Drosophila melanogaster: one gene and its partners. The protein of the gene in region 1 interacts with the protein of each later gene in a pairwise test. Each region holds a gene or a part of one and is shown in the gene's direction. Other genes may lie near its edges.

The links.
Region 2: the proteins of et (region 1) and tub interact in a two-hybrid assay, tested with the Drosophila melanogaster proteins (one large-scale study listed by BioGRID).
Region 3: the proteins of et (region 1) and CG9825 interact in a two-hybrid assay, tested with the Drosophila melanogaster proteins (one large-scale study listed by BioGRID).

Annotation. Positions count from the first base shown.
Region 1 is NC_004354.4:19,670,938-19,677,728, reverse strand, and holds et (eye transformer), read left to right. Parts: upstream 1-1,837; 5' UTR 1,838-1,882; exon of another isoform or gene 1,883-1,925; intron 1,926-2,060; 5' UTR 2,061-2,121; coding exon 2,122-3,224; intron 3,225-4,258; coding exon 4,259-5,093; 3' UTR 5,094-5,417; downstream 5,418-6,791. Other genes in the region: dome (domeless), read left to right, coding at 1-1,190; Zw (zwischenferment), read right to left, coding at 5,543-6,620, 6,706-6,791.
Region 2 is NT_033777.3:4,385,346-4,390,784, forward strand, and holds tub (tube), read left to right. Parts: upstream 1-2,396; 5' UTR 2,397-2,584; coding exon 2,585-3,047; intron 3,048-3,113; coding exon 3,114-4,039; 3' UTR 4,040-4,468; downstream 4,469-5,439. Other genes in the region: Cont (contactin), read left to right, coding at 1-648, 705-873, 935-1,068, 1,124-1,417; CG14646 (uncharacterized protein), read left to right, coding at 5,081-5,439. UniProt on the Drosophila melanogaster protein: Plays an essential role in the Tl receptor signaling pathway that establishes embryonic dorsoventral polarity; the signal directs import of dl into ventral and ventrolateral nuclei, thereby establishing dorsoventral polarity.
Region 3 is NT_033778.4:22,835,051-22,840,262, forward strand, and holds CG9825 (uncharacterized protein), read left to right. Parts: upstream 1-2,310; 5' UTR 2,311-2,385; coding exon 2,386-2,407; intron 2,408-2,671; coding exon 2,672-2,808; intron 2,809-2,865; coding exon 2,866-3,939; intron 3,940-4,006; coding exon 4,007-4,231; 3' UTR 4,232-4,241; downstream 4,242-5,212. Other genes in the region: CG12490 (uncharacterized protein), read left to right, coding at 1-78, 136-1,209, 1,291-1,497.

The DNA of each region.
Region 1 (6,791 bases):
TGAAGGCCATGTACCAGACCATTGAGGTGACCGTGGCGATTCTCGTGCTGGGCGTCATCTTCTACCTCGTGTACAAGAAATACCGCAAGATGTCCGATATCGGTCTAGTGCTGCCGCAGGGAATCATGGAGACCATGAAGAAGCCCATAGACATGGGTGGCCTGGGATTGGGCCTGGGTCCAGACTCGTCCGTCAGCGGAGGCATCGTGTGCACACGGGTGGACGACTCGCCGCCATACACGCCGCAGGATCTGCCGCACGACTTCAGTAGCTGCGGCAGTGAGAGCTCGAAACTGCTGCTGCGCACAGCGTCCTCCTCTGGTGGCGGCGGCTGCGTGGATCGCGATGGATACGATGACAATCACGAGACAGGGCCAATTAGCGCAGTTGGTCCGCCCACCAGCTACCTGGCCATGCGGCATGGCCTTCTCGTCCAGAACGACAGGGAGCGCGAGAGGGAGAGGGATCGTGAGCAGGAGAGGGAGCGGGAGCAGCAGCAACAGCAGCGCGAGAGCGAAATGGATCGGGAGCAGAGTTGCACCAATGGTTACATCAAGCCCACACAGATGAAGAGCTGGGGCGGCAACGGTCCCTCGGATAATGATCACACGTTCTCAGTTCCTTCGACTGCAATGACCGCTCCGATGTCCCAGCCGCTGTCCCAGATTCCGCTCAGCGGCTACGTGCCCGTTCCCATTCCACAATCTCGGTTCAATCCGGCTCCAGTTCAACCGTTTGGGTCGCCAGCAGTACCTTCCGCCGCCACCGCAGCCGCTGCGTCGACCTTTTTCCCACCGGCCCACTTGCTCAACATGGACAACTACGTGCAGGCCTCGGATCTGCACAAGCTGAAGCCGCTCGTCGCAGCTCCGTTGTCGCAAACCGGAGGACCAGCCTTTGCGGGATCTTCGCCAGCAACTTCGCCACCGCTACAGCTACCGCCGGTTCACGCCGCAAGTCCAGCTGCCGCCACGCCCAAAATGGCTGACATCGGCTATACCACCATGGAGCAGTTGCAGCTCACTGGGCTGATAAAGCCACCTCTGGCCGCCACCGTGGGATCGCCGACGCACGCCGCTGGTGGGGCGCCGGGAGGCGGCAACCAGCACTCTCGCCTCCAGCCGCAAATCAATGGCTACGTAACGCCGCAGGATCTGAACGCCATGGCCCACAATCGGCACGTCCTCTAAGATACCGGAGCGCTCATCATTTATGCACGGGTGTGCATCATTTTATCGTTTCCTCGCGTTCGCATCGATAATTCATCAACTCATCTTCAGCCGCATATCCTTCCAACGCCATGATCTGGTCACCGGATCGCCCCAGCAACCAAAATCCAGGACGAGGAACCCAGAACCCAGAACCTGTAAACTAGAATCTGGAATCTGGAAACTAGAAACCACTGTCGGGCAGCTGTTTATAGTAATTAGTGAAAACTCCTCGGACGAATGTAGTTTTACGTTTGTAATTTATTTTGTATTCTTTGCGATGCGTGTGAGGCAGAAAGTATTTGTAACGCAATAGTATTTTTTTATATATATTCGTACTGTACACTTACTTACCCACTTAACCATCCACGCGTCGAGCGGATCGAGCTTATACTATTAATACCCTATTTACACAATACGCACATCGCTGTATTTCAATATAAAGCTAATTTTAAATAAGATTTCAAATTGGCTTTTTGATTCTCTCGCGAGCTTTGGCGATAAGTTAGCTATACATACATACATACATATACTTGTTCATATATACATATATGGACGTATATGCGCGCCTGGCTGTCCCTATCGATATGCTCCATCCAAGCTGGCGTTTGGGTCTCGCGATTGAGCTCAGTCGCACAGATCGCTCTCGAGCAGTCGGATCCCACGAGCTGGAGGTACGCTTGCCTCCACACTGGACACCACCACGGATTCAAGATCGTAAAGTCTTGCGGTCTTATCAGCATGCCCATGCATTTTGCACTCAACTCATTTGCTTTCTCCTCGTCGAGTGGATGTTTGAAATATGTACATACATAGTTCCGTAATCGGGCTGTATCCAATTTCTAATTCCAGCGCCTAGCTTTAGAAGCATCGGAAGTTGCGATTAGGAGTCACTGCGGAGAAAGGAGCACCCATGGGCTGGAGGACGCGTATAAGCCGCCTGCTTTCGCTGACATTGCTGGCGACGCTCATGGCCCGTGCGCTGGCGGAGAATGCGTTGCATATGCCGCAGGCGAACTGCGAGATGCAGTCCCTCGGCGGACCTAGCTGGCGTTCCGGCACCATCGGCAAGGTGTCCTGCAAATGTGACGGTGGTGAGGGTAGGAAGATGTCTGTGCGAAGGCAGGGCACAATAGAATCAACGGACTCGTACAACGGCACCGTGGTGCACGTGGATGCAAATCCAGCCAACGAGTGGGAACGAAGGTATGAGTGCCTTCTGGATGGCGTCATCCAGAGTCATGTGTGCGTCCGAGTCTATGCCCTGCTGAATTTGAAGGATTTCGTATGCCGCGACGTGGTCTATTACTTGAGGTGCACCTTCAGCCGCATGGAGAACGGCAATTTCGAGAACAAAACCCACTACCAGCTGGCCATGGGCAGGGCCAAGCCAATCGACTGCAGGAAGTCGGAGGACGAACGCAGCAGGGGCAAAGTGGAGTGCTCCGTGCCCATTGATCCGAACAGCCGTGCACCGGAATGGAGGGATTTCAGGCTGATCATGAGCGACGACTTGGGCAACCAGAGCAAGGTGCTGAGGCTAACGCAAGCCGAAATGGAGGTGCTGGAATGGCCACGCGGCAAGCACAACATGATACAAACGCCCAACCAGACTTGTCTGGAGTGGAACGGACCCTTCATTTACCCGAATCGAACGTTTGAACTGAACGTGCAGTTCCGCCACTCCAAGCTGCCCAACTTGTCGAGGAATCTCACCGTTTCGCAGATGCGAGCTGTCAGTGTTTTCGACCAGGTCTGCTTTGGAAATCCACCGGAGGGCAATCAGTTGTTCTATGTTAGCCTAAGCCGTCGTCTCCATGGATCCCCCTGGTCGGAAAGGTACCCCGAGTTCGAACTCACCACGAATGCATCCTTGCCCGCCCGTCCGCCACGGTTCCTGGCCAATGGCTTCTCCCACGACCGTGCTAAAAGGGAGCTCAAAGTCTACTGGTTGCCGCTGGACGAGCTGGAGTTCAATGGAGCCGAGCAGACATACGTGGCGAGCACTAGGTACGGGTAAGCACTACATGCACTAGATTACCATGAGATTACCATCGAGACCTAAAAAGAGTTTTTCAAAAACATATTGAGCTTTAAAAACCGAAAGCCTAGTAAATCATTTTAGAATCTTTGGCACATTAAGCGCCCTATTTACATACAACAAGAGATCTCCGCGAATTCGACTATCAGATACCCATTACCTTACATACGGCAAGTCGTGCGTTACGTTTGCAAAAAGGCTCGCTCATAACTTTTTAATGCATGTATCCGATTTGAAGAACTTTCGGCACTTTATAGCATTTTATAGTATTGATGGGCAAAACAAGGACTTATTTCACAACTTATTTAGGTCACCTGACAGATTTGAACCTCCCAAAAGTGGAACTATGTATTTTTTTGCCATTAGCATATGCCGAAATATGTTTAGAATGCTCGATATATACCTCGTTTTATACCCGTTACTGGTAGAGCAAAAAGGGTATTCTAGATTCGTTGAATACGTATGTAAAAAGCAGAAGGAAGCGTTTCCAACCACATAAAGTATATATATTCTTGTTCAGGATCAATAACCGAGTCGATCTGGCAATCTCCAACTCAGGAACTATAAAAGCTAGAAGTTAAAGCTAGAAGATTAAGCATACAGATTCTAGTGAAATAGATAGCAGCGCATGTTTGCCCACAAATCGTTCAGAACTGCCACTCCCACACTTTTCAAAAATGTGTTGATATTTTTTCAAAATTTTTTTAGTCTTGTAAATTTCTATCGTATTGTAAATTTCTATTTGCCACAAACTTCTTGCCACGCCCACTCTAAAGTAGTAGTTTCGTAGTTGTGTTCTTGGTAAATAAAGCAGTTTCTAGTGATCTTCAACTTAAATTGGGTTAAAATAATAATCGAAATAATCCTAAAGGATTAAATTAGTTCATTTTGCTCCAGTATTGAAAGTTATATGTTCATCCCAGTTATTTCTAGGCGGGTTTCGTCACTACCGATAATATTATTTACAATAAACTAGCCAGCAGGAAAGACTAAATGCTTTTCATTTCAGAACCAAAGTGGCCACCACCCAGGGCAGCATGCTCGCGATCTTCACCGACTGGGATGACACGCAACCGGCCACAGTGTCTGTGTGGAGCAGCAATGTCGTCGGTCGATCGCTGGAGAGCAGCCAGCTGGAGGTGCCCAGACTGAGCGACATCCGGGATCGACGGATTTACCTGGAGAGCTACAATAAGACGAGCTCCAGACTCAGCTGGCAAGGGCCGGAGGAGCTGGGAAACTTCACTGGCTACATAGTCTATTGGTGCAAGCTATCCAGCAAAGTGCACGATGCCTGCGACGATAGTTCCTCCATCGAGACGACCTACGCCCGCGAGACGGCGTACAATTTCTCCGGAATCCAGGGCGTGATCCGGATGGCTGTGGCGGCCAACTACAGCGACGGCCTGACCACCGGGATGCGCTGGTGGTCCGGTGACAGCGAGGTGCCCGAGAAGCCAAAGATCTTGCGGTACGTGGAGGGCACCATCGCTCTGCTGGTGCTTGGGTCGCTCGTCTTGGCCATTCAGAAGCTGCGCCAAATGGCGGACATCCGGGTTGAACTGCCAGTGATGAGCGAAGAGCCCACAGCAAATCCACTTGGCGATGTACGCCTGTTCTATCCCGCCAATGTTCCGCCGGAGAAGTTCTACGGCACAGTGCGCAAAACCGTGACATTTGCGGAAGAGGAGCCCACGAGGTGGCCGGAGATAGAGCTGCAGGAGGTGCCCAGACCACAGCCCGTGCCCCAGGCCGATGCGTACGTAACCAATCAGTATGTGTCCATGAGCGCAATAGGCGCGCCCTGCGGCGATGGGTACATCAAGCCGCCACCCGTGCGCTGAAATCTCTCGGGAAGATTGCTGCCCGCTCTTGTTGTAGTTCGCCTGTAAATCTATATTCGAGAGGAGCCGCTAGTAACTAGCCCGGCTCAGCACCGAAGCCCACTGACCAGAAGCATACTCATTATTTAGTTAGTATTACAACCGTAGGGTTACGTTTGCCACCCATCTGCCATCCTATGAAGGATCTATTTATGTACATCGACACGCATGCGATCGGCATCACCACATACACATCGAACTAGCCGGGATTATGAGTTAGAAGATCGTTCTGCTCCAGCTAAACACTATTTTGTATATTTAATAAAAAAAAATCTTGTACAGACCGAATTACAAATAACCAAAGAATGCATATATGTATATATACATATATATGTATGTATGTACATGTACGTGCGGACAGAGAGGAGTATCCTGCGAACCCAGCCCGGGGATTGGTGTGCTCCAAACGCTCAGTGATTGGACGTGGCCGCCTTGCCGCCGTGCCACTTGTAGGAGCCGGAGTACTTGAAATTGTTCTCCTCGCACTTGCGGTCCGCCTCCTTGGGACCGCGCGATCCGTACTGGTAGGTGATTGGCCGAATGTGCTCCTTCTCGATCTGGTGCAGAATGGGCGTAAATATGCGCCACGCCTCGCGCAGCTCGTCCGAGCGGACGAAGTGCATCTGGGAGCCGCAGAAGACGTCGAGGATGAGACGCTCGTACGCGTCCGGCAGGTAGGAGTCCTTGTAGCGGTGCTCGTAGGTGAGGTCCAGCTCCGTCTCCTCGATGTCGAACGTGATGCCGGGGCTCTTGGTCATCATCTTAAAGTACAGGGCCTCGCCCGGCTGGACGCGGATGACCAGCTCGTTGCGCTTCGTATTGCCCTCGAAGATGTCGCCGGGCACGTCCTGGTACTGGATACGCACCTCCGCCTTGCGCTCGTTCAGCGCCTTGCCGCAGCGCAGGATGAAGGGCACTCCCTGCCAGCGCTCGTTGTTGATCTTGAGCACGCCGAGGGCGTAGGTGGGCGTGTTCGAATCGTTGCTAACGGTGGGGTCCTCCACGTAGCCCGTGCGCGCATCATCGTTTGTACCCTGCGGATTGCCCAGGTACTGGCCCAGCACCATGTCATCCAGCGTCAGGGCCTCGATGCTCTTCAGCACCTTGACCTTCTCGTCACGAATGTCGTCCGGGTGGCAGCTCACCGGCTTCTCCATGGCCACCAGCGAGAGGATCTGCAGCAGATGGTTCTGCATCACGTCGCGTATGATGCCGAACTCGTCGAAGTAGCCGCCACGACCCTGCGTGCCGAAGGGCTCCTTGAACGTGATCAGCACGGAGGCGATGTTCTCGCGGTTCCACGTCGAGCTGAGGATCTTGTTGCCGAAGCGTATGGTCATCAGGTTCTGCACCATCTCCTTGCCCAGGTAGTGATCGATGCGGTACAGCTGATCCTCCTGGAACAGACCGGCCAGATGGTCGCTCAGCGCCTGCGAGGAGGCGTCATCCCGGCCGAAAGGCTTCTCGATAATCACGCGGTTCCAACCGCTGCAAGCGAACGGGTTATAGGTGTACATAAGTATCGGGTTTCAAATTAAATGCATCTGGATCTTGATCTTGATCTTATACTCACCAGACCGACATGCAGATCTGCTTGATGTTGACAGTCACCTCCTCGAAGACGCTGGGCGGCAGGGCCAGATAGAAGATGCGGTTGGC
Region 2 (5,439 bases), on another chromosome or scaffold:
TACAACATCCTAGGCCGTACAAACTGGAATCGCACCTGGGTTAATGTGTCGACCCATGTGCAGGCGCGAGAAGTAGATCGATACACCTCTCGCCAGCAAGCCGAGGTTGTCAATCTGACGCCGTGGTCGGCTTACGAATTTAGTGTTACTGCTGTAAACGATCTGGGAATCGGAACGCCCTCGGCCCCCTCGCCAATTTACAGCACCTATGAGGACAAACCATACATAGCCCCGAGGAACGTGGGTGGTGGAGGTGGAAAGATTGGCGACCTAACTATCACCTGGGATCCGCTTCTACCGCAAGAGCAGCATAGCCACGGCATACACTATAAAGTGTTTTGGAAGCTCAAGGGAGCCATTGAATGGGCATCTGACGAAATAAAAAAACAGGATCACATGGGCGTGGCTGTGGTTAATATTCCTCTTAATAACTACTATACGGAGTACGAAGTCAAAGTCCAAGCCATTAACAGTGTTGGCAAGGGACCGGAGAGTGAAATAGCTGTCATACACTCCGCTGAGGACATGCCACAGGTGGCTCCTCAAAAGCCCATTGCGCTCGCCTACAACTCCACATGCTTTAATGTCACTTGGCAACCTATAGACATGTCCCGTGAAAACATTCGTGGCAAACTCATTGGCCACAGGGTATGGTTACTGCACTTAATTCCATTGCATTGTCAAAAACCCTTATCTTTCACCAGTTGAAGTATTGGAAAACGACGCACCAGGAAGAAGACTCGGTATACTACCTGTCACGTACTACAAGGAATTGGGCGCTTATCGTAGGTCTACAACCAGATACTTACTACTTTGTTAAAGTCATGGCTTACAATGCTGCAGGTGAAGGACCTGAAAGCGAACGCTTTGAAGGTGTGTAACGAACAGTTTAAAAAACCATTTAAAGAAAATGCTTAAACACCATGCTTTTTAGAACGAACATATAGAAAGGCCCCGCAAAAGCCGCCATCTTCGGTTCACGTGTATGGAATAAACCCGTCTACCGTGCGGGTTGTTTGGAGATATGTTTCACCTTCGCAAGACGAGGAACCAGTAGAGGGTTATAAGGTACAACTCCCGGCACCGTGACCAAGAAAATCGATTACAGTTTGAAACTTTCTAGGTTCGCATTTGGGAATCGGACCAGAACATGATTACGGCCAACAATACCATAGTGCCAATCGGACAGAAACTGGAGTCGTACATCAACAATCTGACGCCAGGGAAGAGTTACAACATGCGAGTCCTCGCATACAGCAATGGAGGAGACGGTCGCATGTCCAGTCCAACTTTACACTTCCAGATGGGCAAGACCACGCGCAACGGCGCAAATACCCGACATGGCCACAATATCAATACGGCTCTTATCTTAAGCACATTGCTACTCATTAGCACCTTTCTTTACACAAGCCAATGAATGCAGCACAAATTAAGATCCATAACTTTAGGCAGTAAGAACATACATATACTAAGAAGTGACCTTATATTTGAGTAAGTGAAGTTATAAAAAGAACTACATTCCATCCGTGCTCTCTTGCAAGCCCCTTAATTGATACAAATGCAATTCCGTCCATTTTATAGACTTTTATCAAAAAATAATTTCTAAAATTTTATCAACAAAATAAATATGAATACCATTATATGGTCCAGTATGTTGCTGAACTAAAAATAACAATATCCCTATTTTTTTACTTGGAATAATGAATTATGAATTAATTATGAACGTGTGCCCCGGTTGGCCATATTTATGTCCCTTTTTGTTCACCTGGTAATACTACTCCTGCATTTTATACCCGATACTCGTGAAGTAAAAGGGTATACCAGACTAGTTAAAAAATATGTAGCAGGTAGAAGAGGTCTTGATCAGGATCGATCTGGCCATGTCCGTCCCTATGGACGTCGAGATCTCAGAAACTATCACAAATCAAAATTAATTATTGTCCAAAAATATCAAAAAGAACTAAGAACTAAGTGTTTATTTTTGGTTTTTCGATTATTTATTTTGCTGCTATTTCATCGCCCGCGTAAAACGGGCGGACATGGCTATATCGACTTGTCTGTTTTTACTGATTAAGAATATTTAATACTTATATATATGTATACGTAAATGTCTATTCGAATTTCCTTTCTACCAGGTACCCGGTATTCTTCTACAATTACAAACGAAAGCCATCTATCGGTGGGGTTACATTTATTGCTCACAACGCCGGAATATGTCATTAATGAAAAAAAAAGTTTGGTTTTTTCTTACTTTGCGTTAAAAATTAGTGCAGTATTGCAAATGGCTAGCTATTTTCCGCATACGGAAATACCACACAATACCAATCGGCTTCGGGAATCCCCCTAATATTACATGACGAATCTAATATGGTGCTGCGGTCCTCCTCGGTCACACTGAAATACTGCGAGCAGCGAGCAGTAGCTGTGGGCATTGGCAAAAACATAGAGAGAGAAGATAGATGCAAACATGGTTTTATAGCGGAAATCTCATACAATCGCACTGGACATCTGGGAACTTGAACCATCGACCTGCCACAGGCAAAGGCTTTCCCGTAAGGTTATCCTGGGTAGCTAAGGGAACACCATGGCGTATGGCTGGAACGGATGCGGAATGGGCGTGCAGGTGAACGGAAGCAACGGCGCCATAGGTTTATCCTCGAAGTATTCTCGCAACACGGAGCTGCGACGCGTTGAGGACAATGACATTTACCGGCTTGCCAAAATACTAGATGAGAACTCATGCTGGCGCAAATTGATGTCGATCATACCCAAGGGCATGGATGTGCAGGCCTGCAGCGGAGCCGGATGCTTGAATTTTCCGGCGGAAATCAAAAAGGGATTTAAGTACACTGCGCAGGACGTGTTCCAGATTGACGAGGCTGCAAACCGACTACCGCCGGACCAAAGCAAGTCGCAGATGATGATCGACGAGTGGAAGACCTCTGGCAAGCTCAACGAGCGGCCCACGGTTGGGGTATTGCTCCAACTTCTGGTGCAGGCAGAGCTCTTCAGTGCGGCAGACTTTGTGGCACTAGACTTCCTAAATGGCAAGTATGACTATGTTTGCCTTAAACTGACAAAACTAAAAAAAGTGTATCCACTGACTTCTCTAGAGTCCACCCCTGCCCGGCCTGTTGACGGTCCCGGTGCGCTCATAAGCCTTGAGCTGCTGGAAGAGGAAATGGAAGTGGACAACGAGGGGCTGAGCCTCAAATACCAGTCAAGCACTGCCACTCTTGGGGCAGACGCTCAAGGTAGCGTTGGCCTGAACCTGGACAACTTTGAAAAAGACATTGTGAGGCGGGACAAGAGTGTGCCCCAGCCGTCAGGAAACACCCCTCCCATAGCGCCACCTCGACGACAGCAAAGGAGTACTACTAACTCCAACTTTGCAACATTGACAGGCACCGGAACTACGTCGACGACCATCCCGAATGTGCCCAATCTGACAATTCTCAATCCCAGCGAACAAATTCAGGAGCCAGTGCTGCAGCCACGACCGATGAACATCCCCGATCTGTCTATACTCATTTCGAACTCTGGTGATTTGCGGGCAACTGTGTCGGACAACCCAAGCAACAGAACTAGCTCAACGGATCCGCCTAACATTCCGCGAATCACTCTTTTAATTGATAATTCTGGAGATGTAAACTCTCGACCAAATCACGCTCCAGCGAAAGCTTCAACGGCTACCACATCAACGGCGAGCTCAAACAACTTGCCAATGATAAGCGCCTTGAATATAAGTAAAGGCAGCAGGGAGACCTTGCGTCCTGAGAGCAGAAGCAGCTCCAGCAGCTTGAGCAAAGATGATGACGATGATAACGATGGTGAGGAGGATGGAGAGGAAGAGTACCCAGATGCCTTCTTGCCAAATCTGAGTAACTCAGAGCAGCAGAGCTCAAACAATGACTCCAGCCTGACAACGGTTACTGGCACCAGTGGTGATAACAGCTTTGAGCTAACCAACGACTCCAGCTCCACCTCAAACGACGATTACGCTTGCAACATTCCAGACTTGAGTGAGCTGCAGCAATAGATAAAAGCACCGACCATCGGCGGAGATGACATTCCGTTCGATAACTTATGCAACCCAGATGTATTCATTTGGCAGCTGGGTGTGGACCTTCTTATGTTATGCATGAGGTCCAACTAGAATCTAAGATTCAGTGCACGATTTGTTCATATCACGTCTGTAATCGTGACAGTACATGACAAGTACGGCAATATCAAATATTTCCGTTTCAAGAAAGCCATAACCCAATACCAAAATTTAACAAATTTTGTATACTTACGAAATACTCCTTCATTTTCTAGTATAAATTTCCTTAAACGCATAATGGGTTTCTGTGACAGTTTTGTCTTGGGACAAACTGCGATCTTATGACATTTTTCGTTATTAATTGATTGTTGCCTAAAATATTTCACAAGTACGATATAATGGCTAAATACAAATAAAATATTTTTGAAAACATTGTCTGTTTTTCTCGACGTTCATACTGATAATATACCACATGACCGCTTAAGTCAAAGCCTTTTTCAGGGCTGTAAGTTCAAGAGTTTAAGGCGACTGTTTTTTCTCGGTGAAAAAACTTTAGGTTTTTCAAATGAACGAATGCATTTTGTATGTAATTTTTGTACTATTTTATTTATGTGCACAGGTTAGTTTCGTTTAGTTACTAAATTAATACACTGTTGTCCGTTCCAAAATGTACACTTACCTTTCTCCTCGGATGACATGTCCATTGCCTTTTCCGTATAACTGCAAATTTTTGATTTTAATTGTTTTATTTTTGTTGTTCGAAACAGCAAACAGTATTACTCCACATTTGCTCTAATGCCCCGTGCCCGTGGCACGCAGAATAGTCGATCTTCAAACTGCTGACAATTAAAAATGTCTCGCACCTTGTTTTTATTTAAATTCTCATTTGCTATGGCGGGCGCGGTACGATATTGGTCCCGTGCTATCGCGTACCATTCATAATATCGATATCTTAAGAACAATAATCGGGAATTTGTTGGACACCTCTAGTGTTCGACGAAACCACTGAGCCAAACAAAATCCGAAATTATTCGCAACATGGACGAGTCGGAGCTGCTATTCAATCTGTTTTATATTCTGTTGTGCATGGTGATCATCTACCCGCCAGAGGAGTTCCAACGCCTGGGATTCACCATTGAACAGTTGTTCGCTCGGTTCCTGGGAGAAGAGTACCTGGACTTTGTAGGCTACCACCAGCGCCGTACTTCGCTGAATCTCTTCGTGCACTCCTGTCTGCCCTTCTCCTACTTTCTTATTCATAGGCTCAAGTTCTCCGTCTTCGCCACGCAGGAGCCCTTGGAGGACTTCGACCTGGACCCGGATTTCCCCATGCCCCAGGAAGCGGTAGCGTTTAAAACGCTTACGTGGAAAACCGCCCAGCGGTTCAGTGTGTTGGC
Region 3 (5,212 bases), on another chromosome or scaffold:
GTATTCATAGGCCGCCTAAATGTGGGCGTGTCTGTGGTGGCAATGACCAATGCGGAAACCACGAACCCGAACTTTCCGGTAAGAATAGGGATCCTATAAAGAAAATACTACTTAGCTCACTAGATTCTCTACTAGGAATACGATTGGACGGAGGCAGAGAAGTCGTATATATTCTCCAGTTTCTTTTGGGGCTACATCTTGACCCAATTTATAGGTGGCTATCTCTGCAAGCGCTTTGGAGTCAAGAGTGTAATGTTTTGGGGTGTCTTTGTATCTGGTGTCTGCAGTGCATTGACCCCGCTCTTCATCGGTTTTGGCGGATGGCAGGCCTACTGCGGAATTCGCGTGGTTATGGGCTTGGCACAGGGACTAGTTTTTCCCTGTATTCATCACCATTTGGCCAAATGGTCACCTCCGGCGGAACGAAATCGGTTGGGAGCTCTTAGTCACACTGGGATGGAGTGCGGCAATGTAAGTGCCATGTTCTTGAGCGGAATGATAGCCAAAAGTGCCATTGGTTGGCCAGGAATATCATATGTCTCCGCAGGATTAGCCTTCGCCTGGTGTGCCATTTGGTTCGTTTTTGCCGCTGACAATGCAGTGGAATCTCGTTACATAACCCAGGAAGAACTCCACTATATCGAATCGTCTCTGAAGCACAATGAGGACTATCACAAGACCGTAATTCCCGTACCATGGATGGCGATTTGGACCTCGGCACCATTTCTTGCTCTTACGCTGACGCGTTGTTGCGCGACCTGGGGTCTGAGCACCCTCCAGGCCCAAATCCCAACTTATATGAACGGAGTTCTGGATATGGACATGAAAAGCAATGCATTCTTTTCGGCATTACCATTTCTGGCCATGTGGATTATGTCGTATGTGTACCTGATAATCGCCGATGTTCTGCTCGCCGGAAACAGGCTGAGTTTAACGGCCCTCCGGAAGACCTTCAACTCGTTGGCCTTCTGGATTCCTTGTGCCACTTTGATTGGAATCGGATTCCTGGATCAGGAGCAGAAGAACCTGGCAATTGCTTTGATGACCATCAGTGTCGGTGTCAACAGTGGAGCAACAATCGGAAGCTCCTTGAACACCATAGATCTATCCCCGAATCATGCGAGTATTCTAATGGGAATCTTGAATACGGCTGTTACTGTAGTGCCTATAGTAACCCCTTTGATTGTTGGAGTTATTGTTCATGAAGACGTAAGTTTGCACTGTTAGTGTTTATAAACAGGGCAGTGATAAATAAGTATAAATAAGAAGACTTTCTGTTGATTGTTTCAGGATAACCGTGCTGAGTGGCAGATAGTGTTCATAATTGCGGCAGTACTTTTTTTTGTCGGAAACTCGGTGTACCTATACTTTGGAACGGCTGTTTCACAACCCTGGGATGCTGAAGACTACCTCACAGTAAAGGTGCCAGAGCTAGCTAAAGTTCCAGCTATCCATGAAGCTGGTAAAGGTATTGATGACCTTCCACGAAGTCCTTGAATTGAAGTTCTATCGATAGCACTTAAGTCTTCAGTTAACATAGAAACTATTTAAAACAACAAAGCAATCAAAATAATTTAGAGTATTATTATTAAATTTAATAAGATTTAAGATCTACATCAGTACATTTCATTTGTTTATTAAACGTATAAGTAAAACGATTTGTTTGAATTAAAATGTTTGAGCGTTATTTGCTTATCAAAAGTCGTCAAATTTACCAAAGGTGCGGCCATAAATCAATCCAATAATGGTATGGCAGTAACTACTCTTGATATTACCAATTGATTTTGGAACGCCACACGACCAGGCAATGCTGTTCTAAACAACCTCGTTTAACAGTAGAAAAGGAACTGCAGGTAGGATATTTTCGTCAAGATATCTAAAATTAACTATTAAAGGTGCAAAACCTTGGCTTCTTTCTTGACTAAGTAACCTGAAGGCCGAAATGCCCACCTATTCGAAAAAGGGTTCTCGATATGGCCATGAAAAAGCAATGCATTCTTTTTGGCGCTAACATTTTAGGCCATGTTGCTTATGTGGCATCTATCTTTTACCGAATCGTGCCAGAATCCTTACTAGAATTGTAGAAATGGATGAAAATAATGATTTATTGATTGATTTACAATATTCTGACTAATGACATAATAACTAGTTTGTAAAGTACAACAATTTTTTAATGACGCTTTTTAATTCAATGGTTAAATTCGCCCGCTGTATGACCTTATCACCTGACGTGTCGTATCAGATAAGCAACATTTGGCTTATCGTCTAATTCAATTTGGATTTAAATCCACTCTATGTTCGTGGTCTCACTCACTTAACTTCCCACAGTGATTCCGATCGGTCGTTTAAAAGAAGTCAGGAGGTGTTTTGTTGACCAAATCAAAAATGACGGCCGAGACAAACAAAGGTGCGTGAAAGGAAATCCTTCGGTTCGGATAAGAGTTTGTGAATGAATTGACACCCAACGAACTTGACACAGTGGAAAACCCCTTCATGGCTCAGACCTTGCACTCCGTCTGATTTCTGGGCTTTTCGCACACGCATTGAGTGGTCATAAATTACTACAATAATGGCGCGATAACCGAGTCTCAAGAGCAATTCAGACTTATTTACCCAACTGTTTGTAGACAGGAAGTAACAGTGATAATACCAGTTCGTTTTGTTATTGCAGGACCCGTTCTGGGAATGAGGCATGTCCAGGCGCTACTGATCTTCCTCAATATAACTACCGTATTCATAGGCCGCCTAAATGTGGGCGTGTCTGTGGTGGCAATGACCAATGCGGAAACCACGAACCCGAACTTTCCGGTAAGAATAGGGATCCTATCAAGAAAATACCACTTAGCTTACTAGATTCTCTACTAGGAATACGATTGGACGGAGGCAGAGAAGTCGTACATTCTCTCCAGTTTCTTTTGGGGCTACATCCTAACGCAATTCCTTGGAGGTTATCTCTGCAAGCGCTTTGGAGTCAAGAGTGTAATGTTTTGGGGTGTCTTCGGATCTGGTGTCTGCAGTGCTTTGACGCCGCTGTTCATCGGATTTGGAGAATGGCAGGCCTACTGTGGAATTCGAGTTCTAATGGGATTGGCCCAGGGAGTGGTATTCCCCTGCATTCATCAGCACCTGGCTAAATGGTCACCGCCCGAGGAAAGAAATCGGTTGGGAGCTCTGAGTCACACTGGAATCGAGTGCGGCAATGTGAGTGCCATGTTCCTGAGCGGAATGATAGCCAAGAGCTCCCTGGGATGGCCCGGAATCTCATATGTCTCGGCTGGAGTGGCCTTCTTCTGGTGTACATTATGGTTCGTCTTCGCTGCCAACCATCCTACGGAATCTCGTTTCATAGGAGAGAACGAACTGATCTATATTGAGTCGTCTCTAAAGCACAATGAGTCATACCACGCTACCATTATACCCATTCCCTGGAAGGCAATTTGGACGTCGGCACCATTCCTGGCCCTGCTCATAGTACGATGCGCTGAGAACTGGGGACTGAGCACTCTGCAGGCCGAGATCCCATCCTATATGAACGGAGTCCTCGACATGGACATGAAGAGCAATGCGTTCTTCTCGGCACTCCCATTCTTGGCCATGTGGTGCATGTCGTATATTTACCTAGTCGTAGCCGATGTGCTCTTGGGCAAGAACTCGGTGTCCTTGACGATTTTGAGAAAGACCTACAACTCCATTGCCTTCTGGATTCCTGCTGCCACTTTGGTGGGCATTGGCTTTTTGGACAAGGAACAAAAGAACTTCGCGATTGCTCTGATGACCATCAGTGTGGGCGTGAATAGTGCTCAAACCATTGGCAGTGTTTTAAACACAATTGATCTATCGAAAAATCACGCTAGCATTCTAATGGGAATTGTGAATACAGCGGCGAATTTCGTGCCCATAGTCACTCCTTTAGTTGTTGGATGGATTGTTAAGGAAAATGTGAGTGCTTGCAAAAGTTGGTAGGAAGTAAAGATTTTTAATTGCTTATTGTATCCTTTCCTTTCAGTCTGATCGCTCCCAATGGCAGATCGTGTTCATCATTGCCTCCGTAATCTTCTTTGTGGGCAATTGCATTTACTTGGTGTTTGGCACGGCCGAAACTCAGCCCTGGGATGCCGAGGACTATCTGCAGACACAGAACCCGGAACTTGCCAATAGACCACCTATGCAGGCGTTATCCTTTCCAATTAACGAAAATTCCAAAGAGAAAATTAATAGTAAAAGCCATTAATTCTTAACCCATTTAACGCATTTATTTTTTAGACTAGTCTGGATAACCAAATTTACATTTTAGCATTTGGTTTTTATTTGTTCACTTTAGTGGTCTAAAAATCATAACTTGGTAGAGAGATAGCAAACGATTCTTTTATCTATAACTGACACTCAAATTGAGTTATTCTTGATATTTTGAAAATGCCATTGAGGGCGACATCACTAAATATTTTTAATTACAAGTCCGCAGTCTCAAGAGCTAGTCAGCTATTATTGTTTTGATTGCTCGAAAATATAGACATATTCTTGTGTTTAAAATTCCCTTAGTTACCGTCGCTAGTAGACTGAATTATAGAGCATTTAGTTCTGCAGTTCATTTTTAAGATGCCGTTTGCGAAGACCTAAAAATATTATCTTACGTACAACGATCTCGTCATTGCACTTCTCGCCATATGATTTGTGATAAAAAAAATTGGCAATGCCCACAGTATCACTAAATGGTACACACCTTTATGGTTTCTTTGGAACAAAAATTTAAGGCGCGACCTATAACTTTAGTAAGTGACTCATCGTTCGAAATGAAGGAAAACCCAGTTTCCAATTTCTTCCACCAAGATTTGTGAGAACCTTTCAAAGCTCTGTTATCCCTGAGCAGATAACTAAAGCTCTGCTGGTAATCTCAAATGGAGCCTACTTAGCTTTGGCTCATAACACACTCAAGCAAGGGGAATCACTCGAGATTGTAATGGCCAGGCGAGGAATTGGCTGAGATTAGAGTTTTCTTTAAATTCATAAAGTTCAATAAATTGACATTATAAACATTATAAATACTTTGGCCGTGTGGCTCGGTACAGTATCGATTAGTTGATTATTTATTTAACTGGTAGCATCGCTTATCAGTTGCGTTCCATTGTTTCGACCAGATTGCGGCCATAAAGAATACTATGCCAAAAAATAAATAAACTCATTCATTTATGGCGGCTCTTTCGGTTGCTGGTGC